Linked DNA regions of Drosophila melanogaster. The protein of the gene in region 2 interacts with the protein of the main gene of each other region in a pairwise test. Each region holds a gene or a part of one and is shown on either strand. Other genes may lie near its edges. The genes, in order: Rgk3 and Ten-a.

Region 1 (10,422 bases), on a different chromosome or scaffold from region 2:
ATTAAAAAACGAGCCACGCTTTTTTTCGCGCTTCGAAGAGTAAAAGATTCGGGCCAAGTTCCTAGCCAGTAAATAATGCAAAGGACTCGGGGGAAAAAGGAAGCAGAATAAATACAAAAACTTGAAAACGTCTTTAACGCGACGGCTTATGCGAGAACAGCTTGAGATAAAGAGTCAGCGGCACTGAGAGAAAAAGGTAGCTAAAAGGGGTGCCTTAAAAATGGCCAAATGTAAATGTAAATTCATTCGACTTCCCAAGAAACTAAAAGTGTATGTTATGTGTAAGTGAAAGTGCATTTTATATTGCATATTAAAGCGTTTTTTTTTTTATTTTTATGTATACCTGGGCCAAAAGCAACAAGAAAGCGGCCAAAACCACCCCAGCATTTTGACTTAAGCAGCTTTAAAGGGTTGCGAACAGTTTCTGTGCTGTGAGAATCCAGCGATGCATTACGCAGGACACACTAAAAAAGGGAAAGCGAAATGGGTACGCCGATGATGATTTCAGCTGCTGACCCATCCAGTCGTGCATGAAACTCCAGGCCACATGACGATGAAGTTGTCTTACTCCTCCTCCTCGTCTTCATCTTCGCCGGGGATCCTTTGTCAGCAAATGGAACTGGAAGGCTGCTTGCCTCGTTTGCATTCAATTGATGCCGCTGGCATTTCTGGCTAACAACAGCATTGCGCGTGTGTGTGTGTGATTCCTTCTAATTGGCCGTAGGAAGAGTAGGAGTATGGTGTCACCATGCCAGAACTTTAAAGCTTCACTATTCATTTTCATTTCATTTTTATGCTCACAGACTTTGGCCAGCATTTTCGGGCCATATTAGTGGTGCGTTTGGTGGTCATTTGCCTTTATGGCCCGATATGATGTGGCCAAAATTTCGCTCCCACTCTTATCGGTTGGCCTGTTGCTAGTTATTAACATGAATATTTTCGCTTCAGCGTTTTCTGCGCCCGGCTAATCAGGCCACCCAAATGATGACAGCTGTGCTCGGTTCCAGGCAACGTAGGCTATCACAGAAATAAGCCCAAAAAATGGTTGCTTCGGCCTACCAATATAAACCCTACAAAAAAATAACAACAAAAAATAAAATCCCCGATAAAGTGTCAACAGATAAGGATTATATGGCGCGGAAAGGGGTAGGGTTCTGTTTTTTTAGCCTGGAAAGTAGGTGGTTCAAGGTTGGCAATTCATCTGCCTAAAACAAAGGTGAAACCATCACAAGCATTTAGCTGAAACTGCAAATTTGATTTGATTTAAATGAAAGTTGATTGCGGTCGAGAATAAATTGATTTAAAATTTAGTATGTTCAGCTTAGTATGTTTTATAAATCCACAATCGACATAGATGTGCAGCTAACGTGATTATTTGTGCTGATTCAGGAAATATTCCCCTTTAAAGCACATTAAAGTTCGTATAGAATGCAGTTGCCTATTAGCCAACTAATGCGTACATTTTTTTATCCGCCAGGAAACGCTCGATTTCATCTTGTCCAGCATATGACCTTGAGCCACGCCTCCTTTGTGTGCGAGTTTGTTTGGCGTGCCAGCGGCTTCCTTCAACATGTCCACATCCACATCCACGTCCTTGTCCGATGTCCATGTTGTTATCCGTGTGGCAGTGCAGCTCGTGTCGTTGTCAGTGGATGTTCGCAGCGTTTGTTTAATGTTTCCCTTTGAGCCCCATCTTGCAACAGGGGTATTTGTTTATGCTCATGGCCAGCACCTGTTGCTGCAAAATTAATTTCAATGGGTCACAAAGCGCCGGCTGCTTGTCCCAAAGGAAGGGTGGTGGGATCAGGAGTAGGATTCTCTTCCTATTATTTCTGGCCGCTGATTGGCGACATTAATCCAAAGCTAGTGGCAGCACTTTCTGGCTGAGATCTTGGGCCAAGCTTGAGCATATATAGCTAGCTCACTATTAACATTTTTCGCTGGCAGCTTGTCAACGCAAATGAGCTAAATAAAAACAAAAAGTTTTTATTGCGCATACGCCACGTTGTCGTTGGTCGTTTTAGCTCTAATGGGACAGCATGTTATTAGCAGCGAGCTATTTCATTTGCTCTTTCTGCTCTCAGCTGGGATGAAAACAAATTTGAATGATTAAATAAATTATCCAGCATTTGAATGTGACAGTGTGGACTAAGCGTGCGAAGAATTTTTATGATTCAAAAAATTCAAGCAAAAGAAGCGAAATATTTCGAAATCATTATGAAATTCCGTCAGCCAGTCGACTTTTATTTGTTTTCAGTTGACCAAAGATTTTCAGCCAGTCGACTTTTATTTCTTTTCAGTTGACCAAAGATTTTCGAACAGCTTGACATTAGTTTATGTTTATTTCACGCAAGTGTTTCCTTTGATTTCGTGCTTAATGTTCGATAAATCGATGAGATGGAGCCCGAATATAAACAGGGATTGCTGGCCGGAAAAAAGGCGAACGGCGGCGGGAATGAGCGAAATCTGCTCGAGAATTTACTTTGCTACAAAGATTTTCCAAATCGTTGGGCAAAATGGAGCTCAAGGGCAGATTATGCCGCCTAATGTGCCGTCTTCTTCGCCAGATTTCCACCGCCATTTTCCGCAGTTCCCCTCAAAACGCTCTGTCTGTTTGGTTTAAACTCGACGTCTTTCACGGTGATTATGACACACATGTGGGTGTGGGTGTGTGTGTGTGCGTTGTGTGTGTCTGGTGTGTGTGTGTGTGTTTATTCCGTTTATTCCACCTTTGGCTGCCGCCCGCTGTTTACTTCAAGTGGCATTCATTGGGGGTCTTACACGATGGCTTGTTATTCTCAATTTAGATTCAAATCAAGCCAAGAGTCTGGCCGCCGGCGCAGATGTTTACACAAAAATTCACTTCATTTAGTTTGCGACAGGATAATTGCGGCACTTTGAAGTGTGTGTCATAATTAACTATCGGGGAAATGTCCTTTGGCATCTGTTGAGCGGCAATTTGGGCACGGAAATAGAACGAGGAAGTTTGCGATTTTCCTTTTTTTCCTCACCCGAAGCGCCCGAATTGGTTAGCATTTGATTTCACATGGTCTTTGTTCGATTTTATTACGGCCATTCGAGGAATTTCTTTTGTTAGCTCTGCTAAGCCAACTGAAAAATGCCTTTGGAAGTGAATAATTGAGAGGAAATATTTGGCTGCGCTATGTGAGTTAAATGAAATCCGTATGTAGTAACAAAGAGGTTATGGAATTTAGCTAATCTCTGCTAACTTCGCAGATTATGCTCAAATTAACCAACCTCTTGGCTGACACAGAATTATTCTTCTACTCCAGTGATTCCATTCGAAACTATTTGACTGGAATCAATGGCGCCTCCTTTTTCTTTTAGCAACTATCAGATTTTCCAACTCTTTATGCCATTCACTTTGCATGGACACTGCTGACCCAGACAGTTGCAATTATGTTCGCCGAGGAAAGGGAAAAACAAGGGGGGGGGGCAAATCCTGCTGGAAGTGTTCTCAATGTCCATCAAAGCAAGCTGGGTGGAATTGGGAGGAAGTGGCTGCCGCCAGGGAAATACATAGGAAAATGAATAAAAAGTTAAGCTAGCCAGGAATTTATTCGCATTTGAACTGCTTGCTGTTTGTTTGTTTGGCTCGGTTTTGGTTTGGGTTTGGGTTTGAGTTAGGGTTTGGAGTTGGTTGCTTTTGGTCGCTGGAAGCATTTTAAGTGTGTGCATAAATATTTTTGTTAGTTGTGTCTGGCTGAGGAGGAGTTATTCAGCGGAAATGTGCCACCCACTTCACTGACATCGCAGCCACTTGGCTCCTGCTCCAATTTGCTGCCCAATTGTCACTGGCACTCTGGGCTCAGTCACGTTTTTCTGCTGAAGTAAAACGGGTGTTGTGCACGGCAAAAAAAAAGGGGTTAGCTCTCGAGAAATATGGTAAAATAATTAAATCACTCTTGCTTTAAAAAGCCGACAATAATTAGTATCAATTTTATTTAAGGTATTTGGAGCAGACTTTGATTTCATTCAATTAGTCAAGACTAAACTCTTTTTTTTTCTCTCACTTGTTACTGGAGCGTTTTTTACCATGTAAGCGGTTAAATAAATGATTATATTTTCCACTTACGGCAACCCTTTTCTCGCCAGTGCAGCAATAGGAACACGAAGCTGTCATGTTCATTGCTTTTCCGGGCGTAAAAAGTCCAAAAAGCAATGACAGGGGCGACGACATTTTTGGGGGCCAAGTGCCGGGGGTGTTGGGCTATAAAGCCGGATAACGGGATGGCCGTGGAGGCGGTGGACAATGCCGCGACCAGGTCGAAACCCGAATTCAGCCCCAGAGCCGCAGAGGCACGGTCCTTTGCCACCGATGTCCCTGATGCCAGGTGCAGGTGCAAAACGCTTTCAGGAACTTACCTTTGTTCCCAGACTGTTGGGCTCTGGTGGCTGAACTTCATGGTTGTAGTCAGTGCAGTGCAGTGCTTTTAATTGAATTTGGAATATTTTTACCCTCAGTGGCCTAGGGGGACAATCTGGCCAATCCATTTCGGCCAAGAGCTACGAATTTGGCTATGACCAGATGGGCGTCCTCTGCCTGCCTGCCTGCCTGCCTACCTACCTACTGCAATTAGTGGTGGCTGTTCTCTTGCTCAAACTCTAATGGAATTAGTTGTTAATTTGATTTGCCATAAAAGCAGTCCGTGCCTCCACTTTCATTCGTATGCGGGTGTGCTTGTGGCTCCATTCCATGCGGATCCTTTGCACCGGGGGCGTGGCCAGGAAGTCGCGTGCCAATGGTGCCAGACACTTTGCTTTAATTGGCCGGGGGCCAATTGGGTGCAGTAGCTCGAGATGGAGCAGGAGCGGGAGCAGGAGCAATCGCACACACATTCGAAAAACAGTGAATTGAAATCAAAATGCCGCACTGCAGCTACATTTACGTTTCCTCCGATTGCGAATTGTGGTCATGGACTGTCCTGATTAGGTTCCAGATCTCCGGGGAATTGTTTCGGCGATTTGTATCACTAATGATTGCCCGCAATAACTGCTCTTTGTTTGCTCCATTCAGTTTCGCTTGTTTTCGCTGATTGCGAGTGACCAGCAATTTAATGCTATCTGATGCAGTCCAGTCTATGTGGCAATAACTAAAATGTTGCCCCTTCTTTTTGTCTGTCAAGATATATATATATATATAAGTATATAGTGCATTGACATTTGGCTTAAAGTGAACAAAAAAAAAAAAGAACGGAATGATGAGCTGCAGAAACATGAAACTGCATACGAGTAAAGTTGCATGTATATGAAAAACAAACATGCCACATAATTCCAGGAAAATGTAATTACTGTAACCAAAAGTTCAAAAGCGGTTGAAAAGTAGGAAAATTAATTACATGGGTATGTAATTATGAAAACATTAGCTAGCTAAACAACATTTCAATCAAGTTTTTCATTTGCATTCGTAGTTACGCTGCGACTTAGCCACAAATTGTTCGTTTTTTTACCCACATTCCCTTGGGGCTTTTCTGTAAATTTATTTCAACGACATTTAAGGGCTTTTCCCGTCCCAATGGAGTTTTTACAGCTCGATTATCGGGAATATTCCACCAGCCTTGCCATGACTTCTGATTAAATTGTATTTTATTTATTTTATAGGCTCTTGCATTGCCGCTTGCAGTCGAAAATCCATTTATCTTTTGTTACACTGCCCGAATTGATTGTTATTTAGCAATTTCCCCCCCTCGTCAACGAGTGCAATGCTTTATGGCACCCCAAAGAATTCGTTCGCAAAAAGAAAACCATTTCGAAAGGAAGGACTATAAACCGATGGAGGCTGCTGACTTTTTGCCGTTGAATACTTAATGTGCAGGCCAACGCGGCGTATGAGTGATTTTTCTGTTCTGCTTTTGTTTCTTTAAGGTTTTTCCGATTATCCTGCGTCGAAAAGGAAGCGGCAAAAAGGGAAATGGAGCTGGGAATTAAGTAAACAAATCGAACCGCTGCCGGAAACGCCAAAAGTGCCCGGCCACACGACACTTACGCCAAAAGGTCTCTCAACTTTTTTGTGATAAATTATCTATTTGAGTCACGACACTACAATTAGGCAATTTAATTAATCAAAACAAACCTGTATTTCGACTGTTGGCACCTTCGACTATCCCGGCGCGTTACTAATTCTAATTCCAGCGTCCAGCGAAAATGTATGGCACTACTTATGTATTTGATCGATAATTGGTATAAAAAGAAAATTGTGATGGCGGCTCACTTTTTATATATATAGCGAGATAATTTTGTGCACTTGTTCACTTTCTTTTTTCTTGTTTTCCGTTATTTTTAGATAGATTTCAGCTGTGAAGTGAATCCGAAACCGAAAAACAAGCACATGCGATTTTTCTTTTTCAAATATTTTAGATTTCAAATATTTTCCACCACAAAACTTGTGTACGAATCGCAGGCACACATTGCATAAATATATATATTGAGTATATTATATTGTTTTGATTAATTCTGTTATTGTGGTTGGCGTATTTTCAAACGCGGTTTTCCAACTGAAAACGAAACGATACGTGAAGCGCTGGGCGATTTTCCAAACGCTTTTCACATCCGATCCGTGCGAGCGCCGTCGAGTGTTTGAAGCGATTTTGGTTCAGTTTGGTTTGGTTCGCATCTCGGTTCGGTGTGGCAGTTGGTTCGGCGCTTTCAACTGTGACGTCACGGAAAAGCTCAGCCACGTCACCGTTAGCTTTTCCGAGCGCATTGCTCTGCCCAACCACTCACTCCCCCCCTCATTCCACTTGCCGCGCCATTTGTATTGTTTGTATTTTTTCTTTACGACTTTGCTTTGTTTATCTTCGGCTGTCTCTGCTGACTTTGTTTTGAATGTTCCATCAATGGAGCGCAAGGATGGTGGAAAAGCTGTTGGGAAAAGGTAGTGAAAAGTGGGTGGGAAAAGGTAGTGAAAAGTGGGTGGCTAGCGGTTGGCAATTGGGCGGCAAATATGGGGCAGCCAAGGCGCTTTGGGGATTGCAACGTTTAAATCTATTCTTTTTTGTTTCCTGACCCTTTCTCTGTTGGTTCCTTTGTTTTGGTTTTGGTTCTGATTGTGATTTTGATTCTGCTTCTGTTTCGGTTTTGTTTTTCCCTTGTTTATAGCTTGTGTTTTCCGTTGGTTCTTTTATGATTCGAAATCGCTGACAGCCAAGCAATATTTAGAATTTGTGACGAGCATTATTTGGCATTTTATTAATGTTTCGATTTTGGTTGAGTACATTGGGGTTTTACCCATTGCTCATGCTCGCGGTTTATTTGCCAATATATATTTACATTTTGGCTAAGAAAAAATTAAAAAAGTAATTAGCACACGATGCTATAAACGTTATATGTAAATGCATATGTTTTTATGGACTGTGAAACAAAAAAAATATGAAAACAATTCCAGCCGTTAAATGCTGAATAAAAACTACATAAACCAAACGAAGAAATTATATGACTCATGTTATATTCTCGTAAAATTGTTTAAATATTTAAATAAATTTGTTTTTGTTTATACAAATTTTTCTTTTTGGTGCATCCTGTATTCCTGTTGACAAAACTCCAACCATTTCTCATTTGGAAATACTTGTGACATGCAGCACTTTCGAGCTGATCGCTTCGACTCGATTTGCAATTATCCAAATGACCAAACACATTTGCCAAATGCAGTGAATGCAAGTGCCAAAAATAGCGATACCAACAATAAACGCACCTGCTGCAGCGCGAAATGCAATTAATCTTCAGACAAAACTGTCGCACAGACCGCAAACAATTTCGCTCGAAGCAAACAAATCCCATCAGCGTCGCATATCGCATATGGGCAAAATTTGGTAAATTTTTTTTTTTTTTTTTTTTCTTGGTCGTAACGTCACAATATGTCAAGTTTTATGATGATTAAGTGAACGAAGGAATTGCACACACACACACACACGCACACTGTGAAAAGGGCGGGCAGGAAAAGAAAAAGGAAAAGTCCTTAAAGCTTAAGGAAAACTCAACCAAATGGAACCCTTGTACTAAAGTCAAATGTTGTTTGTTTTTGTTATTGTGGCGAAGGTTCATGCTATGAATACAGTAGAAAGTATCATTAGCTTAATTATTACCTGTGAATATGTAAATATGAGTGGTATGAGTACTCAAACTTTAACTAATTGATTCAGTTACTTTCTAAAATTCGTATTTATGTTGAAACATTAATTGTAAAAATTAATAATATATATACACACTTTTGTAGCGATGACTGTATGGCTGTTTGTGTTATTGTTGCGACTCCTGCCACGTGGTTGAGTACGATGGCCTATATCTTATCAACATGGGGTGTGTGCTTGTGCGGCACATTATCATAAGCCATGATTTATTTATAGAGGCAACCAGGTGGCACACACCCATACTGCGAAACGCACACAAATACACCAATGGATTGCCTTTGTCCTCGCTCAAGTTCGGAAAGAGCTGTCAATTGATTTACTTGACCCACATGGGCAAAAGCTCAACTCGAACCGACGAACCGGCCACGCCCACCCAACCCACTGCCTTTTCACTAATGCGATCAATATTTGGCAGATAAAAAAGCGGGCCAAGCTAAGTTGGCGCTCACAGGAAAGACAAAAAAAAAGTGGTTTAAAGCTCGCGCTTAAAGGCCAATTGTTGCTGCTGCCGATTGAAGGGAGGATAAAAGCCGGCACAGCCTCAGGTGTTGGTCAATTAGAAGAAAATTCATTTTCGCGGATTTGCCGGCTAACGAGAATTTATGTTAATTTATTTCGAAAAACTTTTTAATTAACCCACAAACGGTGGATTGAGACCGAGCATCGCAACTTTCGGTGCCGCCGCCAAGTGGCGACTTGCCACCAAATATAGCACTCAGGATTTGTATCGCTCGTCTTTCGCTTTAATCTAGCTAATCTATGCAAATGAAATGCGCACACCTGTCGGCCAAAAAAGGTGGAAGAGGTGGGTTGTGACCAAAAACCAAAAGGAAAAGGGAACCTCTTTGCCAGCTGTCTGCTGTGGCTTTGTCGGTCGCTTTGAGCTCGTTTTTTTTTTGGCAACAATTTGCCCAAAACTTGCCACGCCGCAAACGCTTAATTGCAGCTCGAGGGCTGTGGGTAAGTGTATAATAAGGAGCTCAGCCGGAAGAGGGAAAACAAAATCATGTCGACAACTGGTTTCACAAAATGAAGCTGTTGCTAATGATATTCATGAGTTTGTCTCTGCTTTAGCCATTTCCATTGCAAATGGTGGCAAATTTTTGGTGGCCTTTGAAAGAAATTTAGTTTCTTTTATATGGTATGCAATTGTATTGTATATATATTAAATTTTATAGTATATTTATCAACAGGACTAAGCTAATAGCTGTCAAAACCTTCGACTAGAATTTTCCATCTATCCATTTCCATATCCCGCACTAAGCAAACATCATAGCGCTCGGGGAAATCCCTTCCATCTTCCACTCGACGCGTTGCGTTGCGTGGCGCAAAGTGTAAGATAAATGGAGGCTGTAAAAGTGGAGCACTTCGGGATAGGGATTGCGTTCGGGATCGGGGTAAAAGGAAGGGCAGCCACTTTATCATAAACTCAACAGGTTAGCCTCCCTTTATGTGTGTCGTCTTGCCATAAAAGTTGCTGTGCTGATTGAATAAAAATTTCATTAAACGCACATTTTCTAGCAGCTGGAAGGCGTTTACCCTCCAATTCAACTGCAAATCCTTTGCAGGATGAGTTAAGGCAGCTTGGGCCGCAGGCAGCTTTCGCTTGTCTGTCGTTTATTTTAATTGCCGGCATTAGACGCTCGTTGATAGGCCATAAAAAAAAGCAGTTGCCTCAACGGCAGCCGTCAAAGGCGAAATGAAAAGATTTATCTCTGGAGAATTATTTGCCAGCCAATAGATAGATACTCTCTTTGAGGTTTGCCGCCCAGAAACCGCATGAATGATTTGTAATACATATAACGAAACAGGTATTACCCAACATCAGATGGATTTTCCTTTTCGCATCCTTTGTTTTAAGCGCCGCGACGGCTTCATTTCCGGAAAAGTGGAAGGGAGAGCAGCAGGTATCCAAGTGGCATTGGAGAAATTCAAGGAGTTGGGCACAGCGTAGTCATTGTCATTCCGCTTTTGCGGTTGCTTATTCGGTTGTTAAATCGTTTTTATGACGTATTCTTCGCCGCCGAAAATTTACGCTTTTCGGTTAACTTTCCCCTTGGCATTTTCCGCCCTCATTTACAATTTTCCTGTTCGCCACACTCCGTGTGAATCGCGGGCATTACTCAACCTTCTGTGTGTGTAGCTTTCGAGTGTTTGGGTAATTTTACAGATTTATGCAACTTTTCGGCGGGCAACGAAAAAAATGTGGAAAGGGAAGATAAAAGAGTGATGGCTATGGCTGCCAATTAGCCGGCGAAATATGTTTATAGTTTTG
Region 2 (10,622 bases):
CGGCTGCAACACACTCACACTCTCAGTAAAACACCGATGCTGTTTCCTGTTTTTCTTTTTTTCTCTACTTTCTCCGCTTCGTAAAATTTTGCTGGTATATGTACATTTACCATTATTTCCATTCGCATTCAGTTGAGAAAGGTATTAAGCCGGAAAAACACGTTGCACATCGATGTACGAACGTATCTGTGTGATCGTTTGCCATTTGTACACAGAAAGAATATGATAACCATTCAAATGTAGTGTATCCAAATCAATTGCGACTGATTGTAATAATAAACACGTTTCTCTTTTATTAAGAATTATAAATAAATATTTGTGGCTAAATGTTGATATTATGAAAAAGGCATATTTATTTCTCGCTGTGTACGCCTGAACATGTGTGAGTGTATAATATTCCTTGGTGGCCAGCGAGGCGATGGCACGTGTATTTACGTGAAGTCAACGTAGCCATACCTGAGAGATTCGCCAGGACAGTCGTTTCTGCTCAGGAAAAGTCAGTGGAAGTGGGGACAGGAGAAAGCTGGGAATTCCCAAGGGAGGTAGTGGAGGACAGGTTGCCTCAAATGTTGGCCAAAATCAAATGAAATTAGCGTCGCAGTCGGTTCCGAGATGATTTCAAGATTGTATGCGACAGATATATACATACATATATATATATATATACTAGACAGTGGATAGTAGACGATGCGGCGATGGGCGGTCACAAGTTAATTAAAAGTGAAGTCAGCACTGAAATTAGTTAATTAATATTAAATTCAATTTGAGGCGTCGGGCCTGGTACAATTGAGTTATCAAACGAGCGCCTCGGGTCTTCCGTTTTCGCGCCGAACGTGACACTATTAAAATGAAAGGAATGCCCAATGTCCTTTCCACTGTAAAATGAGGAACGTGTTCGCCGGACTCATGAATCTCATTTGGTTGTAGAATAAACGGAGAAGGACCAAAAAAAAAAAAGGAAGTAGGTGGACAATCTCATGATCGCAAATTAAGCTGTTGGCTAAAAAAAAAACGTTACACACACTTTTGTGCGTTTATCAGCAATCAGCCGCTTAAATTTAAGCGGATGTTAGGAAATTTGGAAATAGTCTAAGCTTTTCCCTAATCTGTCTTACAAATTGTGTGTAAAGCATATTAAATCACCTATTTATGCTGCAACTTTTCAAGCACAATATGCGAAAGTTTAGCAGCTGATTGAAAACGATTACCATTCGTTTAGCTGTAAGGTTCAAATTTTCCGGTACAATGTGGCACACATCTCACCGTACATTTGTTAGAAATGCACATTTGCAATTAACCAATGAACCGTAAGGATAACTAGCATCTCGAAACCATCAATTAGGATCGCTCACTTGCGGTTACCTCGAAAGCATCCCTCATCTTCGCCAAAAGTTCACATATACCATATAGGTATAAATATATATATATATTATATATACATTTGGGCACACATCCATTTGCATTCCATGGCCATGAATCTGTAGGCGAGGTTCATGCCTAATCTTATTTACCCTTGCAGCCCGAATGTATGTAAATTTTGCAATTTGAGCACGATAACAAGGTTGATTGCGGCCGATGGCTTAATTCCCATTACACAGAAATGGGTACTAATAAAAAAAAAAAAAAAAATAAGGAGGAAAATTAAAATGAAAATGTCCGAGTAAAAAGTGAAATGTTTACAACCATTGAGAGCATGCTATCTGCAATCTGAAATCTGCGTGCAAATGCACTTTGCTTGTAGAACAAAATCAGTGCCGGCAAAAGATCCATTAAAGAAATCCCCATGCTAAATCCAAGGTAGAAACTCAGCACCTTCAGGGGGGATGGGGGGAATCTGCCACGAGTACCGTGCAGACTGAGCCACAGGCTAAGCTAGCATAAAAAGTGGCATCTCGCAACGTGCAACATCGGTCGGCTATATGCAACATCAGTAAAAGTCTGCGGCAACATCAAGAGCTCAGACACAGAAGCACATAGAAAATACTACAGAAAATCTACCAATTTCTAAGAAACATTTTAACAACCAATTAATTTCAAATGGAAAATCATTGCAACCAATGCAGCGTAATTAAGATATACCAATTAAAGTTCATTTTTCTGCAAGAATATATCTTCAATCACAAGAATCTTACTACTAAAATTTAACAGAAAATTGTAAAACAAATAAAACAAAAGAAAAAAAATAAACTAATTGCACACACAGAATAATTAGTAATTTTTTTACAAAAAATAATTAGCAGCACAATCATCAATTGTTGAAAAACACAAGATATTCCATCCGACTTTAAGGGCAATTAACTCGAAAACAATAAGCCAAACACAAGTGGCATGTAAAACAACAAAATAAAAACCAATTAAAATTGTTGCAAGCATAAAAGAAAAAAATATTATATAAATGTTTTGCTTGGAATGCTTTTTTGAATCAAATGCAAATGTACAAAAAATATTTGTTTCTAGTTGCAATAAAAACGAAATGCAAATGTGACTTAAACTGATGCAACAATAACATCTTTAATTTTTTTGATAGAAGAACAAATGGCGTAATTGGATATTAAAGAGTTCGCAAATACTTTTACATAGATACAAAAATCATAAAATATATACATAAATATGCAACTTTTAAAACTTAAGAAGACCATATCTGTCATAAATGCAGCAGCCAGCTTAAATTAAATCAATGTTAAATAAAAATGTATGCATTAAACATGTAAATAGTTTTCATTCTGATGCTACAGAATAAGCAGAATGTACGTAAAACAGAAGAAAATCGATGGCAGGTAAAAAGCGGAACAGAATTCCTAAAATTCACTAGGTAAAATATAAATAAATAAAACAAACTTTGAACGAGCAGCTGCAATGTAAACAAAACTAAGTCCCATTGTCTACCATTTGCTGCAATTATTATTTAATTTTTTTCCGCTTACACGTTGCACTGTTTTCCTGTGCATTTTTCCATTTTTGCTTTGTGGCAAAAAAAACAAAAAAAAGGAAACAAACTGGGCTGCACTCGATGTTGGTTGTCAAAGGAGTGGAGCGGCCAATCTGCAATCCCCGATCCCCAATCACCAATCCCCTCCAGAAAGTGCCCAGTCCAGCCACTGTCAATGCATTGAGCATTTTTGCCTCGCTCAAGTTGTCCGTGGCCCCGATAGTTATCATAAATATTTAATTTTCATTTTGCTAGCAATTCTCCGCCCGAGGAGGCAATTCGCCCACTCAACTGGCATCTCTTTATTTCCCGGGCTAATTGAGAGATTATGCAGAAGGCCGGGGTAAATATGAAATTTGTATCTCAATCAAAGTCGGCAACTGCAAGAGCTGCAAGTCGTCAGATCAGAACTTATTTCCATTTCAAATTAGTTTTGCCATCTTGCGAAAGTGTGTGTTTCATTCAGTCAGTTTTAGTTTCATTTTAGTCGCAATATTGATTTAAATACCAAATGCACAGGCATATTTATGCACATATTTTTGTTTTGTTTTAATTACCGCATATACCGGAGCATTTAAAGGCAAAATTTCAAAGGGCACAGTAGGACGAACATTTGTTTGCTTTAATTATAAATAATATTTAATCTAGATATTTCATTCGAATGGTCACCCCAAAATGGTCGGTTGTAAGCCGTGTTATTATTATTATTACTTGTGTTTATTATTATTATTGGCATTTTTGTGCCTCTGCTGCTGTTGTTGCTGCTTTTGCTGCTGCGGCTTAAGTGCATAAATAAACAGATTTTAATTTAATTATTATGAAATTCATTGGCCCCCGGCCGGGCTCCATTATTAACGGCATTCGATTCGGCATCCGATGATGATGGAACTGCCACCGGAGGATACCGATACCTCCAACTAGGATGTGGTGCATAAATCTGGTATCGTGTAAAATGCTAAATATATCGCCGGCCAAAAACTAGCACACACACACACACACATTCATTCATTCAGTTTGACCTTATTAGCTGCAGTTGACCAAATCGAATTAGACCCCTGGGTGAAAGCGTTTGGCAAACAAATTTTTGATTCGTTTACAGCGGCCATGGCAATTGTCCAGCTCGGTTGATTCCCGGAGTTTCGAAAGGTTTATAAATTAACAGGGGAAAGCTGCGAATATCTTTTCATTGCTAAATATGAAAGACATCAGTGGAAGTATTTACATGCCATTGCAGATTATATTAATCCAAAACTATTAAAATCCCATTTCAATAATCCGATAATAAGAGTGTAACGATTATGTTCGGTAATCAGTTTTATTAAGTGACATATTTTTAATTATTACTTTTTAAGTGCTATTCATTTACAGCAATTTCTTTTTAATCACGGCATTTATAATAGTTTATTGTCAATCAATGCTGTAATTTGCACTTAACAACCTCAAACGAAAGCGATAGTGAAACTTAACTACAGCAAGCCGAAGTTTGTATACGCTTTCGTTGATATTTAAAGCGATTAATCCGATATGAAGTCTATAGAATTATATGTTAACGGTTACTTACCCTTTGATGTTGATATTCAAATAAAATTAAAAAGATGACCAAACAAATATAAACTGCTTAAAAGTAGTCGAAATTAATATATAAAACTGTTAGTTTGGCGGATAGTTATGCATATTCAACAGCAATATTTTGTGCTATTTCTGAATTAGATAATGTTTTCAAAGTCACCCAGCAAATGTTAATTAACCAAGAAACCAAGAATGGAAATATAAAAATTAGAAAAACTCCCTAATTGGTAACGCACAAGTCTCCAATGAAGTTGACAATTTGAATGGAAATGTGAAACCCATTGAATTTCCATCAACCTATCAAATCACAAGCCCATTTTTGGTAATACGACAGATTGAAGTGCTCATGTCATGTATCCCTTTTGCTCCGGGCGGCAAGTGTTTAATGTTCCATTCTCGTATTACAAACTAAGCAACCAGCTAACCCAAAAAATGATCAATGTCCCCAACGGGCTTCGAGGAAACCGGAGATCGGATGTAAATATTTCCATAAAATTTAACCAATTATTTGACGAAAACTTACCTTTCCCAAAAACGAAACGGATATGACACGTGTGATTTGATTTCGGCTTGTAGCGGTGTTTTTTCTTTCTTTCCTTCCTTTCTCTACTTTCTTTTTTTTATTTGTATGGGCGCTTTTAATATTCACCGGCCATTGCCATTCAATTTGTTTGCCATTTATCAATGGTAACCGAATACCGACATTGCACACACTCTCCCTCTCTCCATCGGATATATTCACTCACACACTTTTCACTAGGGTCTTGCCTTGGTTATTTGCTGATTTTATTATATTTATTCCATACAAATCGAACCCAAAACAAACAACAAAAATTGAAAAAAAAACAAAGTCGAGCAAGTAGCGCAGTCGATTAGAGTGACCAAAAAAAAAAAATGAATTCAATTCGCGCGAAGAAGTCGACTCACAACAAACAAGAGGAAGACACCACGAAAGCGACGAAAGCGACGAAACAACAGACACCACTATTTCACTTCTGTGGGTCAAATAACACGCATACGCACCGTGGACCGTTAGCCGCCTAAAATACGCATACGCACCGTTGGACCGCTGCTCGACAACTGACGGCGCCGCCGATGCGAAACCGTGCAGATACCGACGTTAACTGCACTCGCCGATATTTTGGCCAAGCGAATGAATCCACACGCACATCACCCCGCATCAACCCGACCGCCTAGTATCCAAAGTTTACCAAGTTCCGAGTTGGTGTTTTGTATGTTTTCCACGACCCACGACAACGCACGAAGTACACCATTCGGTTTTCGGTCTATCGGGCCTTTTGCTTTTTGCCACCTAGCCACGACACGAAAAGCCAAACACATTCGGCTCTTAGCCATCGTATCCAGTGTGCGCATGTCACTAGGCCAAGACAAACTCATCCAGGGCCAACTTACTCAGGCTAAGCCACAAAATTGGCGCGCAATTTCAATTAGTTGATGTCCCTCACACATCCATCCATTGCCGCAATTTCTTTCGCACTAACCCCCCCCCCCTTTTTTCTCGTCTTAGCCGGCTTTCCCAGCTTTTCCGGCTTTTCCGGCCAGACGTCTGTTGCTCTCAACCAGCCACCAAAAGTTTTTGGCGGTTTCGGCCAAAATTTCCGACCCTGTTTATCGACGCTTAGTCGATTTAATTTGGCATTTAAAGTGGACACGTTCAGGCACTCAATGATGAAATCTGATCATCACAAGTTGCCGCCAAAAACGAGCGACGGAGTTATTCATCCGGCTTCATTTATGGTTAAATAGGGCGCACAAAAGTGCACTTACAAAAATGATTGCATTGTGCGGTAAGTGCAAGTGCTTCTCTCTTAAGTTTTCGAAATTCAAGAAATTAAAGGAAGAATTAAATTAGTGAAAAATATATTCGACAGAAACAATATGAGTAAAATAAAAATGTATTTTATAAAAAAAAGATTATGAATTGTAGTAATTTTAATTACCTTTATAGCTATTAATAAATTATAATTTAATATTTGGATTCAATATTAAATTAAAGTTTGTTTTGCTAAATGTTAACTGTAAGTAAAACTATTTTTTTTTTTAATTTCAGCCAGTGTTCATTGGCAAGTGTCTTTTTTTTTAGCATGTATGATGGGGGTTTTCATCCACGGTAGCTCTTTTTTTGGTTAATGAAAAGTTGCCACTGATGGCGGCCAAAGAAAATGCAGAAAAGCCGGCAAACTGGCTTAGTGGATGGCGTGGGTGGCGCCAGTGGAAAGTGCTGGGGTAATGGGAAAAGCAGACGGCTGAAGGAGCTGCCCCAGCTGACAAAGACCAGGCTAAAACAAAGGACCCCACAATGGCTGACAATGGCAACTTGTCGAGGTTTTGGGGTTTCTGCGGGGGTTCATCGTGGGTTCCATGATGGCTTCGGGGAAATTCCGGGGGCACCGTACGCTAGCTGGAAAAAAGAACAACTCTCACAATAGACGCGACCCCCCCCCCCCCCCCCCGGCTATCCCCGCATTTATCCACCACATGGCGTGAAATGTGGCATTCAAATAAAGGAACACTCTAATAAGGCTTCCTTTTGTTATTGATAGAAAAAAAAGAGCGAGAGAGCGCCAGCTACCGAGGAGGAAGTGCAGCGAAAAGTGGGGGTCACGGATGGTGCCGAATACCCACCTCCTTCTCCGCCCGGAAAAGTCGCATCTGCCAAGTGTGAACTACTAGTGCTGGTAGGGCAAAAAAAAAAAAAAATTGAAACAAAAAAACTGGAAAGTAATTTCCGGCTGCGCGTGACGAAATCAGTAGAGGGGTTAATAAAAAGAAAATAGCACAAAAAGTGCTGAATGAAAGAAACAGTAACTGGTTAATAACTGGCAGCAGCGATTTGACGACGAGCCAAGATTGCATCTGAATTTTGCCTGCCCTTCAAGTACAGTCCCAACAAAACTAACTTGTCATGACCATGCATGTGCACTCCGAACTTTAGAAACATAAATGATTTAAGTAGATGCACTCCGAACTTTAGAAACATAAATGATTTAAGTAAATCAAACACATCGAATTCCATCAAAACATTTTCCGAAATTGTTCAATGCAGTTGTGTTGACTCTGAAGTGACATTATTTAAGTTTTTTTTTTTAACCAGAAAGTAGCTGATTAGTTCCACGGGTGTCACGCAGGCTCTAATTGCAGCTCAATGCCGCCGGTTGGGACGCGTATCCAGTCGGGATTCGAATGCTGGCTACGGAAGGAATACAGGATGCGGGATGCAAAATTCAAAACCAGCCAGCTTCACACACACACACACAAGTCGCTTGACAATATTCCCCAAACAACAATGGCTGGCGGTGGCAAATGCCAAATGCTAGCTCAACCCCGATACCTGGAGCATTTTGAGTAAGCGCAAAATTTTGGAGGTTTTCCCACCCTCGGAAAAGCTTTGTATGTGTAAGTGTGTGTCTGTTCCTCGATTGCTCATAATGTGCTACTAATGCTAATAAGCATTTATGTGTCTGTGCCCCAGGCATCGTATGCATCAAGGAATCACCCATTGTCATTGGGCATTCCATAAAGAAAAAAAAACGAATTCAATAATCATCAGATATATGTATACTTTAAATATATGGGCTTTTAAATTGAAATCAAGCATTTCAAACATGTTTATTGGTTTACGAACATTTCTGCGGTTTTCGTTTTAAATACCCTAATACAAATTAGATTCATTTTGCACTCTACCAAACAAGCAAGTTGAACTCCTGATTTCTTAAGACCCTTGGAGCGAAACTGAATGCGGGAACATCGCATCGGGTGATTCATAATCCCCTTTAGTCGAGACAGACGCAGTCGGTGACTATGACTTCGGTACGAGTTTCACTGCGACTTTGGCAACGGTCCTGACTAAGGACTCCGGCGGAGGCTGCAAACGGGTTTTGCCGTAAACACGCTTCCAAATTACATTTAAGTAACACTCTCTGAGCTACAGCCGAGGTCATCGAAATGGCACCACCTGGTTTAACCATCTAACTTAATTTCTTCTCTCACCTACATATTTTGAGCATAACATTGGAAATAATTACCCAAATATGGAATGTTATGCCTCGTTGAGTTTGTTTTTTAATTTCCAATCGATCTGCATTCAAGTTTGGGAATTCTAGGATTTTTCAATTTTTGGCAAATTTTGATGATGTTACCCCTTTCAAAAAATGCGATAATTTGGCCAAAAATTAATTTTACAAAATCAATTAAAAAGTGAAAGGGATGGTTAGTGTTGATTATAAGGAGTATAAAATGGTAATTCTTTTTGATGTGAGGCAATTTTTAGTCAAGTTATAGCCAAAAAAGCGAACTTGAAAACTGAGTTTTTTGCCAAAAATAGTTTCCAGATTTTTTGTGAAAAAAATATTCGGTATTTTGATCATAACATTGGAAATAATTACCCAAATATGGAATGTTATACATCGTTGAGTTTGTTTTTTAATTTCCAATCGATCTGCATTCAAGTTTGGGAATTCTAGGATTTTTAAATTTTTTGCTAATTTTGATGATGTTACCCCTTACAAAAAATGCAAAAATTTACCCAAAAACTAATTTTCCTAAATCCTTCAAAAAGTGATAGGGATCGTTAGCATTGGTAATTAGCTGCTCAAAACAGTTATTCTTTCATCTATATGACATTTTATAGAGAAGTTATGACGAAAATACCGTATGTAAAATCAAGTTTTTGGCAAAAGCGATTTTTCCGAATTTTGGTCATCAAATAATTCGTTTTTTTGCCACAACTTTAAAAATAATTGACTGAATATGGAATGTCATACCTCAATGAGCTCGTAATTAAATTTCCAATCAAACTGTGCCAAAAAATAGGAATTCTAAATTTTTGCCATTTTATGCAAATTTTGATGATGTTACCCCTTACAAAAAATGTGAAAATTTGGCCAAAAATTAATTTTACAAAATCCGTTCAAAAGTGAAAGGGGTTGTTAGTATTGGTTATAAGGAGTATAAAATGGTACTTCTTTTTGCTCTGTGACCATTTTTAGTCAAGTTATAGCCAAAAAAGCGAACTTGAAAATGGAGTTTTTTGCCAAAAATAGTTTCTAGATTTTTGGTGAAAAAAATATTCGGTATTTTGATCATAACATTGGAAATAATTACCCAAATATGGAATGTCATATCTCGTTGAGTTTGCTTTTTAAATTACAATCGATTTGCATTCAAGTTTGGGAATTCTAGGATTTTTCAATTTTTTGCAAATTTTTATGATGTTACCCCTTACAAAAAATGCGAAAATTTGGCCAAAAATTAATTTTACAAAATCAGGTTAACAGTAACAGGGGTTATTAGTATTGGTTATAAGGAGTATAAAATGGTAATTCTTTTTGCTCTGTGACCATTTTTAGTCAAGTTATACCCAAAAAAAACTCCAACAAAATATTGATTTTCTTGCGGAATTTTAGGCTTTTTCATTTTTTTTGCTAATAATACAAATTTTTAAGTTTGACTAGAAACGGACGAACTAGCAGCGTTTATATTTGCGCCTTTTTTAGGCGGAGAAGTGACAAGTTAAGGCATTTCCTAAACGAACCTACCCAACTTAACTCAGAATTATCTTCATCTTCTGCATTTAAATTCTCATTATCCTGCGAGTGAGAGATGAACTGAGGCAGTGTGCGAGCGAGCCAGATGGATCGGATGAGCGGGAGGGCGCTATGTAGTAATGATAATATATCTAATATGTGCGTGAGAGTGTCCTTCAGTGCTAGTGTGTGTGTGTGTGTGTGTGTGTGGGAGAGGCAACAACTGTGCACAAATTTGCGCTAAATAATTTAATTATAAGGGCATCAAAAATAACAGCGAAAGAAACCGAAAAGTAAAGTAAACAAAAGGATAACACAGCAAAAAAAAAAGTTTAAGGTTATATCATATGTTTTTTGATTTCATAAAAAATTTTTATAAGTTTTTATGAAATAAATATAATAATGGAAATATTGTTGAAAGCTAAACTAAATGTAAACATTTTTACAATTTTGTTCGAAAATCAAGTCAATTAAACTCATTTTACTTCTACCAAGTTTTAAACACAAATTCACTTTTTGGACCTCAAAAAGGATATATTTTGAGGTGAGGAAAAGCAGACGCGGAATGCCGATGCCTC

Evidence for each region.
Region 1: the proteins of Ten-a (region 2) and Rgk3 interact in a two-hybrid assay, tested with the Drosophila melanogaster proteins (one large-scale study listed by BioGRID).

Annotation. Positions count from the first base shown.
Region 1 is NT_033778.4:21,251,976-21,262,397, reverse strand, and holds the start of Rgk3 (Rad, Gem/Kir family member 3), read right to left. Parts: upstream 6,601-10,422; 5' UTR 6,095-6,600; intron 5,140-6,094; exon of another isoform or gene 4,387-5,139; intron 1-4,386.
Region 2 is NC_004354.4:12,123,314-12,133,935, reverse strand, and holds the start of Ten-a (tenascin accessory), read right to left. Parts: upstream 5,651-10,622; 5' UTR 5,022-5,650; intron 1-5,021.